Linked DNA regions of Macaca mulatta. The protein of the gene in region 2 interacts with the protein of the main gene of each other region in a biochemical or structural test. Links are inferred from orthologs where the notes say so. Each region holds a gene or a part of one and is shown on either strand. Other genes may lie near its edges. The genes, in order: CSE1L, KPNA2 and KPNB1.

Region 1 (3,653 bases), on a different chromosome or scaffold from region 2:
CACAAACTGCTTATGTATAAAATGAGACTGTACTGGCTGGGTAGAGGAGCTCACGGCTGTAATCTCAACACTTTGGGAGGCTGAGGCGGGTGGATCACTTGAAGTCAGGAGTTCAAGACCAGCCTGGCCAACATGGCAAAACCCCATCTCTACTAAAAATACAAAAAATTAGCCAGTGTGGTTACATGCACCTGTAATTCTAGCTACTCGGGAGGCTGAGGCACAAGAATTGCTTGAACCCGGGAGGCAGAGGTTGCAGCAAGCTGAGATCTTGCCAATGCATTCCAGCCTGGATGATGTCTCAAATAAAAAAAAAGAAAAGAAAAGAAAAGAAAAAGAACACTTCAAAACACAAATTGCTTATGTATAAAATATAAAATAAGACTATATTGTCCAGACATGGTGGCTCACACCTGTTTCCCAGCACTCTGGGAGGCGGAGGTGTAAGGATCGCATGAAGTCAGGAATTGGAGACTACCCTGGCCAATATGGTAAAATCCTGTCTCTACAAAAAATACAAAAATTAGCCAGGTGTGGTGGTGCACACTTATAATCCCAGTTACTTGGGAGGCTGAGGCAGGAGAGTCACTTGAACTCAGGAGGTGGAGGTTGCAGTGAGCTGAGATCGCGCCATTGCACTCCAGCTTGGTGACAAAGCGAGACTCTGTCTCAAAAAAGTAAAAACGTAAAATAAGACTATACTAATAGACAATAAACTTTCCAAAATTAAAGAACAGCTAAGTTAAGCATATTTTATACAGCAGATCTCAGCTAAGGTAACAAGTGGGGCATAATCAATTTTCTGGTCTATAAGAAACTTAAGTGCTCAATACATCAACATAAAGCCATCTTCAGAGATTATATAAATCTTAAATCAGAATTAATAGGTTATCTGGCAGAGTAGGCTCTATTATCAGAGACGTTATTTCTTTTTGACTTGTGTGGGTGTCACTGATGTCTGTTTTAGAAACAAAACCACATTAAAAATATTTACCTTCTGTGTTTGGGCTTTTGATGCCAAAGATGTCACTAGGTAGATGGCTGCATCTTTGTGTTTCCAGTTGACAGATGGATTTTTTGCATATTCCTGCAGCATGGAATTAACATAACCAGAGAAGATTCCTGTCACGGGTCCCTCAAAAAACTTGCATAATCCTCGTACCAGATCACAAGCAGCCCTGCGTCTAGTATCAATATCTATGAAATGAAAAGAAAATATATTATGGGGAAAAAAAACAACTAACAACAAACTGACCCAATTTATAAGAAAACAAATTGCCTGGAATAATTTGGCTATGATTGTAGAAAGAAAAAAAAAAGAACAAAACACAAACGGCCACCCAATAGCTATCAGCAACACAAACAATGAAAAAAAAATCCCCCAAGAAATACGAAATCAAAATGAAACTAAAGAGGTCACAGAATCACAGAATTTTGATAAATACTAACTATGTAAGAATAGACAAATGATTCAACTTTTGATACTTTCATGCAGGTCACATATAAGAGCTTTTTAAGACAAGCTGAAGAAGGACAACAGTTCTCAACGAAAGCCAGCTGAAAAAACACTTATGCTCAATCCCACTTCTCCCATTTACTAGAAAGAGAACCACCTTAAAACTGGCTTGCTAAAAGACTAGTAACTAAAAAACCAAGATACACACCAGATCCTTCCAAATCTCTCCTTATGTACTCCTCAGAATTATCTTCAAATGCTTCTTCATCAGCAGCTACAGAGAGAGATATTTCAGATAACACTCCAAAAGACGTCACTGTACTTTACAGCTGAGAATGCAGAAGAGTATGTAGAACTGCCTTGTTCTACAGCAAAGAATTCTTTCCTATCAGATGACTACTTCACATACTCTTAATCATTATCTAGAGCAGCAAATGCTACCCTGAAAGGTGAGGTATTAGGTAATTCACACAACTGTGAGACAGGCTCACTTGTTCTAATGTGACAATTTCCCCAGAATTGGATTACACCTGCAACTGTCAAAAATGTTAGGGATCAATATCAGAATGCCAGCTTTAAATTTCACCAAATAAGATTAAAAAACCAACAACCTAATTTTAATCACTATTATTTCATTAAAGTCATTTCAACAACAAATAAGTAGAGTGGACAATGTCAGATCTGGCCGGCATGGTGGCTCGTGCGTGTAACCCAGCACTTTTGGAGGCTGAAATGGGAAGATCGCTTGAGGCCAGGAGTTTGAGACCAGCCTGGTCAACACAGCGAGATCTCATCTCTATTTTTATCATATAAATTAAAAAAAAAAAAAAAATCTATCCACACACACACACACACTTTGGAGATGGGGTCTCACTCTGTCACCTAGGCTGGAGTGCAGTTGTGTGATCATGTCTCACTGCAGCCTCCACCTCCTGGGCTCAAGCAAAACTCCCACCTAAGCCGCTTGAGTACCTGGGACCACAGGCACATGCCACTATACCCAACTAATTTATTTCTTGTAGAGATAAGGTTTTGCCATTTTGGCCTGGGCTCAAGTGTTCCTCCCACCTCAGCCTCCCAAAGTGCTGGGATTAAAGGTATGGGCCACCACACCCAGCCAGAAGATTTATCCTTTAAACATATTTTTATGAAAACACAACAGGAAATAAAATCTCATGCTATATTGTCCTTAATTTCCTTATTTTGTTCTAGACATAATTTGAGAACCACTGATCTAATAACTATTTTGATATAAAACACAATCCTGGCCAGGCATGGTGGCTCATGCCTGTAATCCCAGCACCATACTCAGCACTCCAGCCTGGGTGACAGAGCAAGACCCCTGCCTCAAATAAATAAATACACAAAGCCAGCTAAAAATTCAGTGAAACAATAAATGAAACAAAATCAAATTCTTTCGCTAAACAGAGATTCCAGGTAGCTTATCGTCTTAATGTAAAGGAATTTTTGAAGTCTTATTTAATATTTCCATGAGAAAACCTTCACATGGCACAAGAAAACTCATTACAGATACTACATCTTCTGTCTTGGTTTAGAAAATAAGAAATAAATGATATACAAGTTTTATTCAGTAATAAATTAATTAGACTGAATATATTACAAATAACAAAGACTTAGTAAATTTATACTAATATACCTTTGCCGTAATTACCTCTAAATTCCATGTTAGGCACAATAACCTTTTCACAGATACTCGTCAGCGTGTTCTGGTCTTCAAATAGATTCTTATAATGAGGTCTCTCACAAACTGAAGCCAGAAATTGAATTGCATTACTTACCAACTGGAACAAAACACAAAAACAAGAATATTTTTAAAAGCAAAACTCAACAGCTTATTTCTTGGGAAGATAGGGAGAGAATGTCTTTTAATTATTTTTCTCCACCGTCATCTTACCAAATCATATTTAACCTCTTGACCCGTTGTAACTAGTAAATTCCAGATGGCTGTAACAAAACGAGGCAGGTATCGCTGGAATTCTTCATCGTACTTTTGTGCATAGAGTGCAGCATTATCACAAATCTGGGATTTTAAGAGCTCCAATAAGCCGGCTTCCTCTTCATCCTCACATAAAAGAAAACAAAAACTCCAACATACAACTCTAATGCTAACATAAGTAAGAGGAGTAACTGAAATTCCTGAACTAGACTCATTATCAATTAAATCCAAATCAAATCA
Region 2 (3,653 bases):
TACAAAAAACTAGCCGGGCGAGGTGGCGGGCGCCTGTAGTCCCAGCTACTTGGGAGGCTGAGGCAAGAGAATGGTGTGAACCTGGGAGGTGGAGCTTGCAGTGAGCTGAGATCCGGCCACTGCACTCCAGCCTGGGCAACAGAGCGAGACTCCGTCTCAAAAAGAAAAATGTGCTTAACCACAACTATCAGGGAGAACAAATTCAGTTAACAATGGGAATCTAACCCTGTCAGAACGTCAAAAGTTTTTTTAAAAAGTGACAAGATTTGTAGATTTCTGCAGGGATGGAGAGGAGGGTAATCTACATTAATTTTTGGAAAAATGGTAGTTAATGATACCGCATATATAGCACCATATAGGTAATCTGTTCAGCTTCTCTTAGATTCCAGAATGTCTCAGCATTTAGTGATTTACTTAAAAGGTTGTCTGAAGTTCTAAACTGTTGAATTGCATTTTAAATTGGTTTTTACACAAACTCCTTTTGTTAACCACTTTCAACTTTTATTTCTCTTTTTGTTCCCCTTTAGGAAACTACTTTCTAGAGAAAAACAGCCCCCCATAGACAGCATAATCCGGGCTGGTTTGATTCCAAAATTTGTGTCCTTCTTGGGCAGAACTGATTGTAGTCCCATTCAGTTTGAGTCTGCTTGGGCACTCACTAACATTGCTTCTGGGACATCAGAACAGACCAAGGCTGTGGTAGATGGAGGTGCCATCCCAGCATTCATCTCTCTGTTGGCATCTCCCCATGCTCACATCAGTGAACAAGCCGTCTGGGCTCTAGGAAACATTGCAGGTACTTGGACTTGAAGTTCTTTTGACTGAATGTATCTAAGCGTAATGAGTTCAAAGAAAGGCCTTATAAATAGTAACGACTTCGTCAAGTTTTGAGCTTGCTTTCAAGCCGTTATTAGGAATGAAAGTGTCGTCTTTACAAAGGCAGCAGAGGGGCATCTAAGTACGTTTGGGAGTTTTTGCTGGTGCATCAGTCACTGAACATTGGTGGTGTTGGACAAGATAATAAAATTAATCTTGCTTTTTTTTTCAGGTGACGGCTCAGTGTTCCGAGACTTGGTTATTAAGTATGGTGCAGTTGACCCACTGTTGGCTCTCCTTGCGGTTCCTGATATGTCATCTTTAGCAGTAAGTTACTAACATGAATAAAGTTACTCACTTCTTCATTCTAATTTCCCCCATCTTCTCAAAAGACAGAACCTCTCATTGCCTATTTTTTTCCCCCTAGTGTGGCTACTTACGTAATCTTACCTGGACACTTTCAAATCTTTGCCGCAACAAGAATCCTGCACCCCCAATAGATGCTGTTGAGCAGATTCTTCCTACCTTAGTTCGGCTCCTGCATCATGATGATCCAGAAGTATTAGCAGATACCTGCTGGGCTATTTCCTACCTTACTGACGGTCCGAATGAACGAATTGACATGGTCGTGAAAACAGGAGTTGTGCCCCAACTTGTGAAGCTTCTAGGAGCTTCTGAATTGCCAATTGTGGTAAGTTATTTACTTGTAGATTAGGACATAAGTATAAAAAGCATGATCAGGGCTGGGTATGGTGGCTCACGCCTGTATAATCCCAGCACTTTGGGAGACCAAGGCGGGTGGATCCCCTGAGGTCAGGAGTTAGAGACCAGCCTGGCCAACATGATGAAAGCCCATCTCTACTAAAAATACAAAGAAATTATCTGGATGTGGTGGCACGCGTCTGTAATCCCAACTACTTGGGAGGCTAAGGCAGGAGAATTGCTTGAATCCGGGAGGCAGAGGCTGCAGTGAGTCGAGATCGTGCCATTGCACTCCAGTCTGGGTGACAAGAGCAAGACTCCTGTCTCTCAAAAAAAAAAAGCATTATCAGTTGATACTAATATTGAAATATTACCTATTTCATACCCATGATGGGCCTCTTGTTAAAACTTTTAGGGTACAGAATTTCTGAAGTGCTGGGAAAAAACCAGCATCAACATTTTTTTTTTTTTTCAGACTCCTGCCCTAAGAGCCATAGGGAATATTGTCACTGGTACAGATGAACAGACTCAGGTTGTAATTGATGCAGGAGCGCTCGCTGTCTTTCCCAGCCTGCTCACCAACCCCAAAACTAACATTCAGAAGGAAGCTACATGGACAATGTCAAACATCACAGCTGGCCGTCAGGACCAGATACAGCAAGTTGTGAATCATGGATTAGTCCCATTCCTTGTCAGTGTTCTCTCTAAGGTAATGAAGTCTTAGGATTTAATCAAGTCATTTTTAGTATTTATAGAAAGCTCTGCTTGATAAGCTTCTTCACGTGCAAGAATCTTGGGTTCTACTTGGAGTCCTTTGCTGAAAAATACCCAGTAACCCCTTTCACTTACAGTTGGATAGAACCTTGGTACTTTGAGTCATTGTTTTTGTGAAAAAGTACTCCTGGAAACTTATTCTTGCAACTTTCTGAAATAAAACCATTTCCTTATGTTTAATAGGCAGATTTTAAGACACAAAAGGAAGCTGTATGGGCCGTGACCAACTACACTAGTGGTGGAACAGTTGAGCAGATTGTGTACCTTGTTCACTGTGGCATAATAGAACCGTTGATGAACCTCTTAACTGCAAAAGATACCAAGATTATTCTGGTTATCTTGGATGCCATTTCAAATATCTTTCAGGTAAGACCTATCAAGGTGGCTTTGTTTGAATTTGAACTTGATAATAATCAGTTTACTATTTAGACCTGGGGGAGGGCAACTGTTGTAAGTTTAGTCACTAGTAAGCCACAGATTCAGACAGCCTGTTTAGGTGGGCCACACCTTTGATTAAAAATGTGGCAGGCATTATCAAAGATGAAAGAGATGACAAGTGGATGATGGGACCTGAATCGAAGTCGGGCGTTTATGTGAACTCATCACATCTGTTTACTTACTTGATTTAATGTCCCAATTTCATACTGAATTTTGGTGAAATTAAATTTGAATGACTTGGCCAGTCATGGTGTCTCATGCCTGTATCACAGCACTTTGAGAGTCCAAGGTAGGTGGATCACCTGAGGTCAAGAGTCCGAGACCAGCCTGGCCAACATGGTGAAACCCCGTCTCTGCTAAAAATACAAAAATTAGCCATGTGTGGTGGCAGGCACCTATAATCCCAGCTACTTGGGAGGCTGAGGCAGGAGAATCGCTTGAACCCTGGGCCAGGGGTGGAGGTTGCAGTGAGCCAAGATCATGTCACTTCACTCCAGCCTGGCCGGAAGAGTGAAACTATCTCAGAAAAAAAAAATTTGAATAACTTATATTTTTCTTCTGGTTGTATCCCTAATTGATCCAAGCATACCAGCATATGGCACTTTGTCATAGTGATTGGTGGTAGGTAAGTCCTACTCATCAACTTTAGATTCTAGAGATTTTTACATATAGAAGTTGAGTCTACAGGCTGGGCACAGTGGCTCACACCTGTAATCCCAGCATTTTGGGAGGCTGAGGTGGGCAGAGCACGAGGTCAGGAGTTTGAGACCAGCCTGGCCAACATAGTGAAACCCCGTCTCTACTAAAAATACAAAAAATTAGCCGGGTGTGGTGGCAGGCGCCTGTAATTCCAGCTACTTAGGAGGCTGAGGCAGGAGAAACGCTTGAACCCGGGAAGCGGAAGTCACAGTGAGCTGAGTTTG
Region 3 (3,653 bases), about 15 Mb from region 2:
TGTCTAGAATTTGCTTTGTTTCTCCTCAGGCAGCAGAACAAGGACGGCCCCCTGAGCACACCAGCAAGTTTTATGCCAAGGGAGCACTACAGTATCTGGTTCCAATCCTCACACAGACACTAACGAAACAGGTGAGTTACCTTCCAAATATAGGTAGGTAAGCTGTGAAACCTTACTAAGAGTAAACTGTTTGCTGTGGAACAGTTTCCATGGAAGGAACTTGGCAACCCATCAACTATTTGATGTTCTGTTGTTGATGGCTCAGGAACAGCTAAGCTGGATCTAGAAGATCCCCTAGGCTCTGACTTCTTTGTGAAGGAGAACTAGGTCTTAACATCTCAGATGCATCTTGCTCAGGAGTGAGCCACATGCTGCTCTGATTTCCTGAGTGCTCCATTGTCCAAACTCATAGAAGAGAGGTGCTCTATCAACGCTTCAGTGAAGCAAGGTTGGGAGCAAAGATATGCTGGTTTTAGGCCACTTGCCTATCTGTTCTAATGTCTAGGATACTTTTGTGAGTTCACAGGGTATATGCTTTTAAAATGCTAAAGAAGTTGGATATGAGTTATTCAGATCCTAATGAAGGACCCCAACCCAAGAAAGAAAGCCTTCTACTAATCCTTTAAGATGATTAACTTGAATTATTAAGATTCAGACTGAAAGTGAAGTGACAAGACTTCATAAAGATTGGGGTCTAATGAGTAAATATAGAAGTTCTTTTATGAGGACCGTGTCCTGGTTGCTTTTGTTCTCCCGACTTTATGCAACACAGTGTTTCTTGATACGGTGTTTGGGAAGGTTCTTTTGGTGCATGTGAAGTTATTACCAAAGAGCTGCTAGTACTCTGAGGAAACAATGCTGGTAACTGAGCACTGCATCATTTCTTTGTACACAGGAATGTAATTGTTTTTAGGGATGTGTATGATTCTCAATATAATAGTTTCAAAAGCTAAGTAGGGATGTGTTTGGATTAAAATGAACTGGATGTTCCCTTACATTTTAACCTCTCCTTTCAGGTTTTTTGTTTTTGTTTTTTTTTTCTTTTGTTTTGAGACGGAGTCATACTCTGTCGCCCAGGCTGGAGTGCAATGGCATGATCTCGGCTCACTGCACCCTCTGCCTCCCGGGTTCAAGCAGTGTTCCACCTCAGCCTCCCAAGTAGCTGGAAATACAGGTGCGCACCATCACAGCCAGCTAATTTTTGTATTTTCAGTAGAAGTGGGGTTTTGCCATGTTGGCCAGGCTGGTCTCGAACTCCTGACCTCAGGTGATCCGCCCGCCTCAGCCTCCCAAAGTGCTGGGATTACAGGCATGAGCCACTGCGCCTCGCCTATTGTTGCTATTTTTATCTTTTGACTTTGTGTCTTGTCTTTTGTGTGTGTGTGTGTGTGTGTGTGTGTATATATATATTTTATATTTATTTGTTTGTTTATTTCTTAGACGGAGTCTCACTCTGTCGCCAGGCTGGAGTGCAGTGGTGCGACCTCGGCTCACTGCAACCTCTGCTTCCTGGGTTCAAGCGATTCTCCTGCCTCAGCCTCCTGAGTAGCTGGGACTACAGGCATGCACCACTACGCCCAGCTAATTTTTGTATTTTTAGTAGAGATGGGGTTTCACCATGTTGACCAGGATGATCTCGATCTCTTGACCTTGTGATCCGCCCACCTTGGCCTCCCAAAGTGCTGGGATTACAGGTGTGAGCCACCACACCCGGCCTACTTTCTTATATTTTTACTGTGCTTTTCCTCTTTGAGAACAAATTATTCTTTGTGTGATTTTCTGAAACTGCGTAGGCAACCTGCCTTAAGTTACTATGTGGTGTGAATGGCCACAATTAGGAAGCTATACCTTGGATTTTAACTTAAGAGGAGATATTAGTGGAATCTTTTCTTTTTTGAACTTTTGTGTTTTTGTTTTTTGTCTTTTTTGGGGGGTGGGGGGTACAGAGTCTCACTCTGTCATCCAGGCTGGAGTGTGGTGGGGCAGTCTTGGCTCACTACAACCTTCATCTCCCAGGTTCATGTGATTATCTTGCCTCAGCCTCTCGAGTAGCTGGGATTAACAGGCATGTGCCACTATACCCAGCTAATCTTTGTATTTTTAGTAGAGGCCAGGTTTCACCATGTTGACCAGGCTGGTCTCGAAGTCCTGACCTCAAGTGATCTGCCTGCCTTGGCCTCCTAAAGTGCTGGGATTACAGGCATGAGCCACTGCGCCTTGCCTCTTTTTTGAACTTTTGATTGAATCATGTCTTCTTTCCAGTCATGAAACTCCCTCACTTTCCTGGTCTGTTATTCCATAAGTTAATTTTTGTTGATTTTGGACGTTATTTATTCTTTTTATTTATTTATTTTTTCTGAGACAGTCTCACTCTGTTACACAGGCTGGAGTACAGTGGTGTAATCTCGGCTCACTGCAACCTCCGCCTTCCAAGTTTAAGCAATTTTCCTGCCTTGGCTTCCTGAGTAGCTGGGACTACAGGAACGTGCCACCACACCTGGCTAAGTTTGGTATTTTTAGTAGAGACGGGGTTTCACCACCTTGACCAGGCTGGTCTCAAACTCCTGACCTCAGGTGATCCACCTGTCTTAGCTTCCCAAAGTACTGGGATTACAGGCGTGAGCCACCACGCCCGGCCAATTTTGTACTTTATATAACTGGAATCATACAGCATACACTCTAGTTCTGCATTTTGTTCTAAATGTTTGGGATTCATTCTTTTTGGATGTAGTTGAAATTTTTTCATTCTTGTTGTTTAGTACTAAATGGAATCTTCTTCCTTCTGAATCTTGTTTAACAAAGACTATGCTGTGAGGAATGTTTGTGGAAGAGATAAAATATAAAGGTCTTATATTTTATTTCCCTGAAGTTTAAGTTCTAAAGACATTCAAGTAGTCAGAGGACCTTTAGAGTTAAAATGATTCTTTGGACAAAATCTTAACTAGTGCCATATTCTTTCACCAGGACGAAAATGATGATGACGATGACTGGAACCCCTGCAAAGCAGCAGGGGTGTGCCTCATGCTTCTGGCCACCTGCTGTGAAGATGACATTGTCCCACATGTCCTCCCGTTCATTAAAGAACACATCAAGAACCCAGATTGGCGGTACCGGGATGCAGCAGTGATGGCTTTTGGTTGTATCTTGGAAGGACCAGAGCCCAGTCAGCTCAAACCACTAGTTATACAGGTGAAGCTGAGGGATTTTTGGAGTAGAAAGTAGAATATTTATTGTTTAAACTTAAAGCATATCTTTATTTTTCAAAACAAAACTGTAAATTGTCATCTACAAAGATTATTTATAGATACCTATTTACTTTTAATGAGAGTAAAATGTATTTCTTAGGTTTCTAATTAGTCAGCATGATCCAGAGACTTTCGAAAAAAGCCAAAAGAGAAGTCACCTTTAATTTCATTGCCCAGAAATAACCGCTCTTAACTCTGTATTTATCCTTGAAGCTTTTTCCTGTGTAAATGTGTGTGCAACAGGCGCTTTCTGTGCAGATTGTTTTATAACTTGTTTCTTCATTTAATACTATGTTGTAAACATTTCCCGATAATTTTTTTTTGCACCTAGCACTGATTCCCCATAATTTTAAATAATGGCATTATTATTCTATTCTTTGGACAAAATGGCCTTTATATAATGAAAAT

Evidence for each region.
Region 1: the proteins of KPNA2 (region 2) and CSE1L form a complex in vitro, tested with the Homo sapiens proteins (2 studies listed by BioGRID). The link is inferred for Macaca mulatta from reciprocal best matches to the Homo sapiens genes KPNA2 and CSE1L.
Region 3: the proteins of KPNA2 (region 2) and KPNB1 form a complex in vitro, tested with the Homo sapiens proteins (6 studies listed by BioGRID and IntAct, with this or other methods). The link is inferred for Macaca mulatta from reciprocal best matches to the Homo sapiens genes KPNA2 and KPNB1.

What each region holds. Positions count from the first base shown.
Region 1 is NC_133415.1:101,888,752-101,892,404, reverse strand, and holds part of CSE1L (exportin-2), read right to left. Parts: intron 3,540-3,653; coding exon 3,372-3,539; intron 3,259-3,371; coding exon 3,129-3,258; intron 1,731-3,128; coding exon 1,665-1,730; intron 1,198-1,664; coding exon 995-1,197; intron 1-994. UniProt on the Homo sapiens protein: Export receptor for importin-alpha. Mediates importin-alpha re-export from the nucleus to the cytoplasm after import substrates (cargos) have been released into the nucleoplasm.
Region 2 is NC_133421.1:77,794,039-77,797,691, forward strand, and holds part of KPNA2 (importin subunit alpha-1), read left to right. Parts: intron 1-527; coding exon 528-796; intron 797-1,048; coding exon 1,049-1,143; intron 1,144-1,243; coding exon 1,244-1,507; intron 1,508-1,993; coding exon 1,994-2,227; intron 2,228-2,475; coding exon 2,476-2,658; intron 2,659-3,653.
Region 3 is NC_133421.1:62,364,351-62,368,003, reverse strand, and holds part of KPNB1 (importin subunit beta-1), read left to right. Parts: intron 1-29; coding exon 30-131; intron 132-2,964; coding exon 2,965-3,189; intron 3,190-3,653.